3 linked regions of the Mus musculus genome follow. The protein of the gene in region 1 binds, or shares a complex with, the protein of each later gene. Links are inferred from orthologs where the notes say so. Each region holds a gene or a part of one and is shown in the gene's direction. Other genes may lie near its edges.

Region 1 (4,369 bases):
GCAGCTGGGCCAAAGCCCAACCAGGAATTTTTCCAGGCTGGTTCCTATATCCAAGGGTGGGTTAGAGGTGGGGGTTTTGGAGAGCTCTTAAGGAAGACACTGAGGACATGGAGAAGGGGACTTAGTAGAAAGAGAGGGGACAGAGCCACACGGGCTAAGTGTGCAAGCATAGAGAAATAGCCAAGGGTTTTAGGGAGAATGGGAGGACAGAGTACACCCCTGAATTCTGTTTAGAAGATGAACCGTAAGCCTAGGCTAGAACTGAGGGAGCCTCTACTCCCACCCTTCCGAGGGTTGGCGGCAGCGCTGGGCAGCTGGCCTACCTACCTTTCTGAATGCTAGGGTAGGTTTGAATCACCATGCCGGCCTGGCCCGCTTCTGCCCCCATTGGCACCCTGGCTTCAGTTCCCTGGCAACATCTCTGTGTGTGTGTGTGTGTGTGTGTGAGAGAGAGAGATCAGGAGGAACAAGGGCCTCTGTCTGCCCAGCTGTCTCTCCTTCAGGGCTCTGCCAGACTACACAGTGCATACGTGGGTTTCCACAGGTCGTCTCACTCCCCGCCACTGACTAACTCCAGAACTCCACTTCCCGTTCTCAGTGCCACAAATTTGGTGCCAAATTCTCTCCAGAGAAGCCTCTCTGGAAACTTCCCAGAGGATCCCATTCACCCCAGGGCCCTAGCTCCTGATGACTGCAGATCAGACAAGGGCTCAGATAAGCATACTCCCCCCCCCCCGTAACCCCCTCCCCACATATAAACCTAGAGTTATGCTTCCGAGGTCAAACACGCAACTTTTTGGGTGTGTGTGTATGTCAGAAACACGCAATTATTTGGGAGCTCAAAGTCTGCCGCACTCAAGAATCAACTCTCACCCCCTTTCCAAGACCCGTGCCATTTGAGCAAGAGTTGGGGTGTGCATAATGTAGTCACTAGGGGGCGCTCGGCCATCACGGGGAGATCGTGAACTTGGGCGAGCCGAGTCTGCGTGAGGGAGGACGCGTGTGTCAATGTGAGTGCGTGCATGCATGTGTGTGTGTGTGTAGTGTGTTTGTGAGGTGGGGGAGAAAGCCAGGGGTCACTCTAGTTGTCCCTATCCTCATACGTCCCTGCCAGCTCTCCGCCTTCCAACCCCTACTTTCTCCTATATTCCTGGGAAAGGGAATTGTTCTTAGACCCTGTCCGCATATAACCTCACTCTCCTGTCTCCCCTGATTCCCAATACTCTGGGATTCCCAGTGTGTTCCTGAGCCCAGTTTGAAGGGGTGCACAGATAATTTTGAGGCCGTGGACCCTGGTAAGGGGTTTAGCTTTCCATTTCGCGGTAGTGGCCTAGGGGCTCCCCGAAAGGCGGTGCCTGGCTCCACCAGACCGCTCCCCGGGGCGGGTCTGGGCGGGGCTTGGGGGTGGAGCTAGATTTCCTCTTTTTCTTCCACCGCTGTTACCGGTGAGAAGCGCAGAGGCTTGGGGCAGCCGAGCTGCAGCGAGGCCGCGGCACTGGGGGCGAGCTGAGCGGCGGCAGCGGAGCTCTGTCGCGAGACGCAGCGACAAGGCAGACTATTCAGCGGACTCACCAGCCCGGGAGTCTGTGCTCTGGGATTTGATATTCAAACCTCTTAATTTTTTTTTCTTAAACTGTATTGTTTTACGCTTTAATTTATTTTTGCTTCCTATTCCCCTCTTAAATCGTGCCAACGGTTTGAGGAGGTTGGTTCTTCACTCCCTCAAATCACTTCGGATTGTGGAAATCAGCAGACGAAAGAGGTATCAAGAGCTCCAGAGAGAAGTCAAGGAAGAGAGAGAGAGACCGGTCAGAGAGAGCGCGCTGGCGAGCGAACAGAGAGAGGGACAGGGGCAAAGTGACTGACCTGCTTTTGGGGGTGACCGCCAGAGCGCGGCGTGAGCCCTCCCCCTTGGGATCTTGCATCGGACCAGTCGCGCTGACGGACAGACAGACAGACACCGCCCCCAGCCCCAGCGCCCACCTCCTCGCCGGCGGGCTGCCGACGGTGGACGCGGCGGCGAGCCGCGAGGAACCGAAGCCCGCGCCCGGAGGCGGGGTGGAGGGGGTCGGGGCTCGCGGGATTGCACGGAAACTTTTCGTCCAACTTCTGGGCTCTTCTCGCTCCGTAGTAGCCGTGGTCTGCGCCGCAGGAGACAAACCGATCGGAGCTGGGAGAAGTGCTAGCTCGGGCCTGGAGAAGCCGGGGCCCGAGAAGAGAGGGGAGGAAGAGAAGGAAGAGGAGAGGGGGCCGCAGTGGGCGCTCGGCTCTCAGGAGCCGAGCTCATGGACGGGTGAGGCGGCCGTGTGCGCAGACAGTGCTCCAGCCGCGCGCGCGCCCCAGGCCCCGGCCCGGGCCTCGGTTCCAGAAGGGAGAGGAGCCCGCCAAGGCGCGCAAGAGAGCGGGCTGCCTCGCAGTCCGAGCCGGAGAGGGAGCGCGAGCCGCGCCGGCCCCGGACGGGCCTCCGAAACCATGAACTTTCTGCTCTCTTGGGTGCACTGGACCCTGGCTTTACTGCTGTACCTCCACCATGCCAAGGTAAGCGGTCGTGCCCGTCTGCTGTCGCCGGGCCGTGGCGAGCGCCTCTCCCGCTTGGGGACGTGCGTGCGTGCGAGCGCGCGCGTGGGGGGCTTCGTGCCCCACGCGGGTCCTTGGGCACCGGGCGCGAGGCGTCCCCCTCTGTCGTCGTACGTGGAGGGGGAGGGGGTGCGCGCTAGGTGGGAGGGCGCCAGGATCGTCTCGCCGCCCACGCGGGCCCTGCCCACCCACCAGAGTCACCGCACGTACGATCTGGGCCGAGCAGCGGAGGGCGGGAGCCAGAGGAGGAGGCTGAGGGGGCTGGGCTTGTGCCGAGGCTGGCGGCAGAAGTTTGCTCCGGGTCGCGGGTCCCCGGAGAACTGGAAGTCCGGGCAAAGGGGGCGGGAGTCCGGAGCCCAGCGGGCATGCCTGGGGGTGCTCGGACCTTGGACCCGGGGAGGGCAGAGATCGTGGAGGGGGCAGGGCGCGGGCGACCGAGGGGGCTTTGCTGTCACTGCCGTTTGGGTCTCTGAGGCCCTTGCAGTGAGTTTGGGGAAAGTTTTAGGATGGATTGCTGCGGGGACCCTCTCCCACCGCTCTAGCTTGTTGGGCCACCTGCACCGCGCCACCCCCTCCCGTCCCCGCTCGCGTCCCGCGCGGTGCCCGCCCTCCCCCGCCTGGCCGGGCGCGCGCGGCGCAGAGCCGATTACATCAGCCCGGGCCTGGCCGGCCTCGTGTTCCCGGAGCCGCGGCTGCCGGAGCCCGGAGACCCGGGCGACGAGCGGCGCCCCTCCCCCCACCGGCCCTCCGCGAGGAAGGTGACCTCTGGAGGTATCCCCAGCTCCGGGACCCGGAGAAACTCCCATACCTCTTTCCTCCGTTCCCAACTTCTACCCGTGCCTCGCGCTAGGAAGAATTTCCCGACGCCCCTTCCCCCTTTTCCCCATTTCCTGCCTGGTGTAAAAAGAGAAGCCCTTCCCACCCTTTTATATTTTCCTTTTCTTTGCGAAGACTCATCGGACCTTTCCTGGACCCAGGGTCCAGGAAAAGGACGGTGACTGTCAGGCGTGGGGGTGCTGAGGCCCACCCTCGGGTTCTTTGTGGAAACGCTGACCTAAGTTTTGAGTTGGTGAAGGTGTGCTCCCTCCTCCCCTCACAGCTGTGCTTCAGGTTTTTTTTTTTTTTTGCGGGGGGGGGGGTGGATCAACGAAGGGTGGACTGACATCACCCCATTTCCCACCCCCACCCCCCCTTTGGAAACATGACTTGATATTTGCTCTGACAGGGGCAGCCTGGAACCAGCCCTTTCCCATACCTTTGGCAGGATCCCTTGTCAGTCAGTATCTCTCACACACTTTGTCCTGGCAAAGCCCGATGCCCAGAGAGCAGGTGGTTTAACTGCGAACTTGCCCACCCAACTTGCCTACCAAAGGGTCCTTTCATGCTTATTTCCACGAAGCTTCAGTTGTAGAGCCTTCTTGGAAAGGAGGCAGAAGGAAGGAGAAGGGCAGGTGTCCCTGCCACCATCCAGAGTTCCCCAGACCCTGGCACAAAGGCCTTGGTTCTGGGCCTCCATGTGGGGAGGAGGATAGGAGTGCTTGGCCACAGTGTGACCTTCAGAGGCCCCCAGAGAAGGACACCTGGCCAGTCCCTGCCTTAGAACCTCCCCATCTGGGAAGGGGTTCAAAGTTTCTGTTCCCTTTCTCCACGGGGGGCTAGACAGAAGAATAAGGAGAATGTCATGGGGCTATTGAGGGGGTAGTGAGGGCCTACAGTGCAGAATCCAGGGCCAACCTGAGGCAGCTGGAATGGGGAAGCTATCTCTTGAGAAGGGTCACCTCTGACCTTGGCC
Region 2 (3,644 bases), on another chromosome or scaffold:
CAGTATTCTGAGCCCCTAAGATAAAGGCCCAACATCACCACCTGCGGTCAAGTCAAGCTTGACTTCTGATAGGCCAGTGTATTTTTGTTATCTTTGTATGGGTTAGGCTCCTCTTCCTATACTTCCATGATGTAAACTATTCTTCAGGCCAAAGACTTTGGAAGGAATGCTTTGCTCCAGCCCAGGCCCCACAACTTCAGTTTTGTGTTGTTCTGCTGTTTTATGAGCCAGAGCCTCACTCTGTAGCCCACACTGTCCTAGAATTCAGTTCATAGTTCAGGCTTGCCTAGAACTCACGGTGGTCCTCCTGCCTCAGTTTCCTAGAATTACAGTGCTTGGATTTCAGGTATGAGCCACCACACTGGCTCAAACCTCCAAGAGTCATCTTATCATCGAATCGACATCAATGTTTGTCAGCTGGGTATTTTAAAAATTGTGTCCTTTTAACATGTTTCGGGAAAGGATTGTGAATTAGTCAGATTTCTGCAAGACTCTCAGTTTGCCTCCATTGCCAGGATCCCTTTTGACCTGGGGTTTTTGGTTGCCATTCAGGTGCCTTGACCATGGTGGGACCAGAGACAAATATATAATTTTATAAGATGCCTGATTTTTTTCTGCTTGCAAAGGATAAAACAATAATGTCTTCTCACCACCCTCAAAACAAGAAAGGAATGTATCTATTTCTAACCATGTATCAGACATGCACTGGTTTTGTTTGTTTGTTTGTTTGTTATTTGTTTGGCCTTGAGTACTTGATGTTGAAAAATCCCTTCCAGTTACATGCTAGACCCGATGATCCTGAAACAGAATGTTTTAGAGTCTCACGTTCTCCAGGGCCCGTATTAGGCTCTACACGCCCATTGTTCAAACACTTTGTTCCCCCAAGGATGACAAGGATCAAAGATTCTATCATAAATTCCCAGCTCCCAAGGAGGCGCCGAGTCCCCGTGCCTTCTGAAGGGTTGACAATGGAGCCAGCTCTAGGAGGGAACTCTCCAGAGGCTAACTCTCAAGTCAGTTGTGAACAGAGACTTGATTCCCATCCAGCACTGTGTGAGGCTCCCTGTGTGTGCTGTGAAGAAATCTGCATAGCAGCCTTAAACTCTAACCTTTTCAAAATTCTTCTTGGCCCCCTGAAGACCAGCCAGCTGGCCTGGCTTTCCCAAATCACATCATCCCAGGCCACTGAGGAAGCCCTCAGGAGTTTGCTGCCTGCTGGTAAACAAAGCTGAGGAAGCAGGGAGGGGCACCCCTGCTCATCCCACCCAAGCTAGCTGCCCACTGGCAAGGTTGGGACTTCCCTGCTGCTGTTGTGCCACTGAGCGAAAGGCAAAGCCTCTGAGATGTGGCCCCTAGAGCTCCAAATAACCCAGGAAGGTTCTTTCTTGCTCCTGGTCCGCATCCCCTACACAGCCCAAGGTGCAGCAATGACAACGGAAGGAGGTAATCCATGGATATAGCTGTAGATGCTGGGAATTCCCTATGCCGCCTGAACTACAGAAAGTTACGAGCCTACCCCAAATACACATATACCTGTTTGCACGGGACCTTCTCCAAGTCAGATATTTGCACTTTCCAGAAAGTCATCATGCATAGAGACTTGCAGAGGGCCCTGCCTGCTACAGGAGCCTTAGATAAAGATGTGGTCGCTGCCGGCTAAGATCGGCATATTGACAACCCACAGTTATATTTCAGTGTGATCTCCAGAGGGTACTTCCTGCCGGTAAACACCTGGTTTATTGAGTATTTCTGTGTTGTTTGTTGTTTTTAGTTGTTGTTGTTGTTTTCGTCATGCTTAGAGTGTCTATTATCCCTTTCCTAAATTCTGCTTCCTTTACTTATTTTAAAATCCAAACGTAGTGAATAAAAACTACTGTAATTGCCAGCATTTGCACCCACATCATTAACTCGTACTCACTCTTGCTCTTTGTATATGCTGGGTCTCTGTTCCTGGCTCTGCCCAGAGCCAACAGTTGCTGGGTTTAAAGCACAAGGGCTCCTCTACTATGACTCCACCTCTGGGGTTGTGGTGGCTGTAATCCTCTCTGTTCCTGCTGCTGCTGCCCAAGCCTGTAGCAGGCTGCGATTGTGTGAGTGTGTGGCATGTTTCATCAGGATGCATCCCAAGAAAGCTAACCCAAGAGCTTAGGAGGGAAACAAGGCCATCCCCACCACAAAGGCACCAGAAGCCTTCCAAATGTCAATACACTGCTGCATTTTTCCAGACTCGCCACCAGAGCGGCCTTTAACATCCCCAACGCCCTGCTGTGATCTACCGGCTGAAAACCTCGATTGTTAATTGTCCCACCACTACAGAGCAGCCCGTTTAATCCAGTCAGGACATGAGGGAGGCTCCAGCTCCCCTTTGCCCCTCCCCTGAGGCACCTTGGAACTTGGAGGGAGAAGGGGCACTTAGCTGGCTAGGGTACAATAGAGGCTAGTGTTGAGGTCAGCAATAAATAAGGGATAACATTGTTTTCTCTGCTGGCAACCAGCAAGCCTTCCTTAAGGATTGAAATAACTTACATTCTGGAGTGAGCAGCTGAGTAATTGAGAAAGAAGACTCTGTCCCTCTTTCAAGATCTCTCTCTCTCTCTCTGTCTCTCTCTCTCTCTGTCTCTCTCTCTCTCTCTCTCTCTCTCTCACACACACACACACACACACACACACCCCTCTTTACCTCTTACCCTCCAATCCCTCGACTGTTGCTCTTATTCTAATATTCAAAGCAATCGGCTGCACTGTCCTAATTTCTGTCCAAAAGGGAGGCTGGCTTGAGGACTTGAAACACAGAGGGCAAGGATGTGTTGTTCCAAGTGCTACTTGAACAGAAATAAAAACCTTGTTTAGACAAGGGGACATAGACACAAACATTTAAATAACCCAAAGGCAGAGGAGAGAGCAGAGAAAGGCTACTCTCTAATAACTTCTCTCTCTCCTTCTCTCCCTCTCTCTCTCTCTCTCTGTCTCTGTCTCTGTCTCTCTCTCTCTCTCAGGCTCTGAAGATTGTTCCAAGAACTTTACAAGCCCCAATGGGACCATTGAATCTCCAGGGTTTCCAGAGAAGTATCCACACAATCTGGACTGTACCTTCACCATCCTGGCCAAACCCAGGATGGAGATCATCCTACAGTTCCTGACCTTTGACCTGGAGCATGACCCTCTACAAGTGGGGGAAGGAGACTGTAAATATGACTGGCTGGACATCTGGGATGGCATTCCACATGGTGAGTGAACGCTTATGCTCAGCTCCCTTTCTCCTTCTTATGAAGGTCAGGACTCTAACCTAGGGAATAGTAGCACCCAAAGTGGGCACATCTTCCCACTTCGATTAACCCAGTCAAGGTAATCCCCCAGAGATATACCCAGAGGACTGTCTCTAAGATGATTCTAAATTTCATCAAGTGAAAACTGAGATTAACCATTAGAGATTGCAAAACTATAAGTGTTGTTCCTTTCTACATAAGTTATTAAAATAGAAGTGAATCAATTATCATATGATGTGGCCGTATAGAAGGATTTAAAGCCAAAGTGACTGGACTTGAATCTCTCTGACGTACAACCCAGCCAAGGTATTGAACCTCTCAGTATGTTGTCTGGGAAATACCTATCATCACTATTATCACGAGTACTATTATTTTATT
Region 3 (3,644 bases), on another chromosome or scaffold:
TAGATCAAGAAAGTGTGAGTTACACACACACACACACACACACACACACACACATACCCCTTCAATCTTAAAGAGGAACAAACTTATGCCATTTGCAGAAAGATGAGATCATCACATGAAGCAAAATAAGTTCGACTTAGCAATGCACATATGATTTTCCTACATACGAGTCAAGATAAAATAAAAGACATCGGAGGTAGAGAAGACTATTTGGGAAGAGGAGAGGGATCATTTGGAGTGGAGTGGGGGAAGACAGAATCATTGGGAGTGGATATAATCTAATATATTATATACATGTATAAAAATGTCCTAATAAAACCTGCTATTTTGCACAATTAATATCTACTAATGTAAAAGGAGAAGGGGAACCCCCACAGTACCCATAGCTTACTAGCAGTTCATGGAAGAGAAATGAAGCACATAATACCATGTAGTGTATACACTTGTTGTAAAGTAATTCTGACTCTGCACATGAAAAAGGAAAAGTGTCAGTTATGTTCATTCATTAAAGTGAATCCTTGAGGATTTCCAAAGCACTTTTGCACCCCCTGTCTAACTGCCTGGTTAGAGCTGTTTACCTTTGCCAATGGGCAGGGTGTACCATGAATGGCAAAGGCAGTTCTTAGCAGCTGTGGGTGCTGATGAACGGTCAGTCTCAGTGTGTGTGTGTGTGTGTGTGTGTGTGTGTGTGTGTGTGTTTGCGCGCACACATGTTCAGCCTGCATTGTTCATGGCTTGGGTCTTGTACGTTCACAGACTGTAAGTACGCTGGTCATCCAAGCTGCCAACGTGTCAGCGTTGTACAAATGTGAAGCCATCAACAAAGCGGGACGAGGAGAGAGGGTCATCTCCTTCCATGTGATCAGTGAGTAGAGAACTCTTTAGAGGGTGGGGCGGGGCACCCTCAGAAAGTGGGTGCTAATAAGTTGTGAGGTCCTCGGTTGTCTTTGAAATTTGTGCAAGTGGTGTGGTGTGTAGCTAGGACTTGACGGTAATGCATTAAATCTGCTCATGCAGGCCCCGGGCTCGTGTGAGAGTTCATGTGCTATCCTATCACTGGTCAGAGAAGGTTTCCACTTGTGCTTTAAGCCTCAAGTCCCATGTTGGGTGTTGTCTTAGTCAGGGTTTCTATTCCTGCACAAACATCATGACCAAGAAGCAAGTTGGGGAGGAAAGGGTTTATTCAGCTTACACTTCCACACTGCTTTTCATCACCAAAGGAAGTCAAGACTGGAACTCTAGCAGGGCAGAAAGCAGGAGCTGATGCAGAGGCCATGGAGGGATGTTTCTTTCCTGGCTTGCTTCCCCTGGCTTGCTCAGCTTGCTTTCTTATAGAACCCAAAAACTGCCAGTCCAGGGATGGTCCCACCCACAAGGGGCCCTCCCCCCTTGATCACTCATTGAGAAAATGCCCCACAGCTGGATCGCATGGAGGCACTTCCCCAACTGAAGCTCCTTTCTCTGTGATAACTCCAGCCTGTGTTAAGTTGACACCCCAAACCAGCCAGTACAGGTGTGGCTTGTCTTGCTTGCCAGAGTCAGTGTGATTCATGACTTGCTGGGGTTTGTGAAGTTATCTGTGGGTTTGTGATAGAACAGCACCAGGGCCGGGGCTTCTAGAGTATGGAAATGATGTGAAGTCACTGGCCTCTGCTTTTCTACACTCCAGAGTTTGTCGCTGCAGCCTAGTTTTATGGGTAAATTTAAGCTGATTGTACTGGCTCAGATATTTTAGTCTGAGGTAATTACTTGTAATAAATGTAGTTTTCATATCATGTATTAATAAGAAGGCATCATTAAAGATTCCATGTGGTGATTAAATGCCCTGCTTTAATCTTTTTGTTTGTTTTGTTGTTGTTGTTTTTTGTTTTTTTTTTTTCATCTTGGAAACCATATCTAGAACTCAAAGTCAAATGCAGTGAATACTTGGGGAAAATTAATTTCACATTTCCAAATAATACATTTTGCAAAATGAATTGTCTGATTTGGGTCTGTCTTTGTAGTAATGACTTGGGACTGCGAGAGCTGTTTCTTAGTTCATCATAGCAGCAAGAAGACAATTGTGTCATGCACCAACTTAAGTTAACTATCCACTAACTATGGCTTTACATTTCAGGGGGTCCTGAAATTACTGTGCAACCTGCTGCCCAGCCAACTGAGCAGGAGAGTGTGTCCCTGTTGTGCACTGCAGACAGAAATACGTTTGAGAACCTCACGTGGTACAAGCTTGGCTCACAGGCAACATCGGTCCACATGGGCGAATCACTCACACCAGTTTGCAAGAACTTGGATGCTCTTTGGAAACTGAATGGCACCATGTTTTCTAACAGCACAAATGACATCTTGATTGTGGCATTTCAGAATGCCTCTCTGCAGGACCAAGGCGACTATGTTTGCTCTGCTCAAGATAAGAAGACCAAGAAAAGACATTGCCTGGTCAAACAGCTCATCATCCTAGGTATGGAGGCATCCCTGGGTGACAGAATTGCAATGCCTTAAATGCAGTGTGTTTGAGTGTTGTAGTAGGCTGGCACACTCCTGGAAGCAGAGCAAAGCTAACAGTGGTGAGGTAAGACATTAAAATTAGAAGACAGCTTGACTCTTTCTAGCCTTTAAGATGATGTCACTACTAGTATGTGCAAGGGATTAGCTTAAATCCAGAGAACTTCCTGTGGCATCCCTGGACATTCAGATGATTACAGTTAGCACATGTGTGTAATACTATTAGCAAAGAGAGGGTCAGAAGCTCAAAGTGATGACCCAGAAGGAGAGGGTGAGACTATAGGCAAATACCGGGTGGTCGTGCCATTGTGGTGTCTCCAACTCCTGGGGATAAAAATTGATCTTTGCTTGCTTACTGCCGTAATTTTAGTCAGAGAACACACTGGCACATACAAGGTGGTCAATGGGATACCTGCTTCATGAAAAGTGTGATGAGGGTCTGAATTTAAGATCTAGAAGATTCCACGGAAGGGGTGCCACACTCATTGCCTGTACTCCTCTGGTAGCCTATGTGGTCTGCAGTAGGTGAAGTTCAGTGAGATAAGTTTGGGATTAGAAAAAAAAAACTTTCACATTTCCTGTGGGGATGCTAGCCTGTCTTGTCTAACCTTGTACTTTGCACAAAACCTAGGCAATCTCTGCTCTGAGGATATCTGGTGAGTTTAGGAGGCATCTCTGTGCTTTTTTCCTGCCATTTTCTCCTTTCTTTGTTGTGCTCTCTGAGGTTCTCGTGATGTGCATCTTCTCTGGTTTATAGTGTGAGAAAGGTGAACTGCCCAGGCTAACTAATCTACATCAACATTTTACATGAATATCATTTTTAAGTGCTTTGGCTTATCTGAGGGGGTGTTTGAAAATAGATGCTAACATATGATTGTTATTAAAAAGAAACTTGGGGACAGAAGGACAGATGTTTCTGAGTGAAGTTGTTCCCAAGACCCTAGAGATCACACCACACATAGGACCCGTTATATCAGGTTAACAGTAGCTGATCCAGATGAGGGCAAGTTTAGAAGGGAGCTCTGGGCTTAGCCATGACCAGGAAGTTTCCTATCACAGTCAGTGGGTATGCTTCTATAAGGATGCCTCTGTTGTTTCCAAAACTCTGTTCTTGGAAGTAGGCCAGAGCCAAGTACACTTGT

Evidence for each region.
Region 2: the proteins of Vegfa (region 1) and Nrp2 are in contact, whole or in part, in a crystal structure (PDB 5DN2), measured with the Homo sapiens proteins. The link is inferred for Mus musculus from reciprocal best matches to the Homo sapiens genes VEGFA and NRP2. Residues at the interface, in NP_003367.4 of Homo sapiens: Lys392, Pro393, Arg394, Arg395; in NP_957718.1 of Homo sapiens: Tyr299, Ser300, Asp301, Trp304, Thr319, Asp323, Ser349, Glu351, Thr352, Asn354, Tyr356, Gly417, Ile418.
Region 3: the proteins of Vegfa (region 1) and Kdr are in contact, whole or in part, in a crystal structure (PDB 3V2A), measured with the Homo sapiens proteins. The link is inferred for Mus musculus from reciprocal best matches to the Homo sapiens genes VEGFA and KDR. Residues at the interface, in NP_003367.4 of Homo sapiens: Pro246, Asp247, Ile249, Glu250, Ile252, Lys254, Met287, Ile289, Pro291, His292, Gln295, Ile297; in NP_002244.1 of Homo sapiens: His133, Val135, Tyr137, Ile215, Val216, Val217, Val218, Val219, Gly220, Tyr221, Asn253, Gly255, Ile256, Asp257, Phe258, Val273, Asn274, Arg275, Asp276, Phe288, Ser311, Gly312, Leu313.

Annotation. Positions count from the first base shown.
Region 1 is NC_000083.6:46,029,460-46,033,828, reverse strand, and holds the start of Vegfa (vascular endothelial growth factor A), read left to right. Parts: upstream 1-1,451; 5' UTR 1,452-1,938; coding exon 1,939-2,538; intron 2,539-4,369.
Region 2 is NC_000067.6:62,741,179-62,744,822, forward strand, and holds part of Nrp2 (neuropilin-2 isoform 2 precursor), read left to right. Parts: intron 1-2,996; coding exon 2,997-3,227; intron 3,228-3,644.
Region 3 is NC_000071.6:75,957,931-75,961,574, reverse strand, and holds part of Kdr (vascular endothelial growth factor receptor 2 isoform 1 precursor), read left to right. Parts: intron 1-756; coding exon 757-865; intron 866-2,116; coding exon 2,117-2,458; coding exon of another isoform or gene 2,459-2,499; exon of another isoform or gene 2,500-3,644. UniProt on the Homo sapiens protein: Tyrosine-protein kinase that acts as a cell-surface receptor for VEGFA, VEGFC and VEGFD. Plays an essential role in the regulation of angiogenesis, vascular development, vascular permeability, and embryonic hematopoiesis.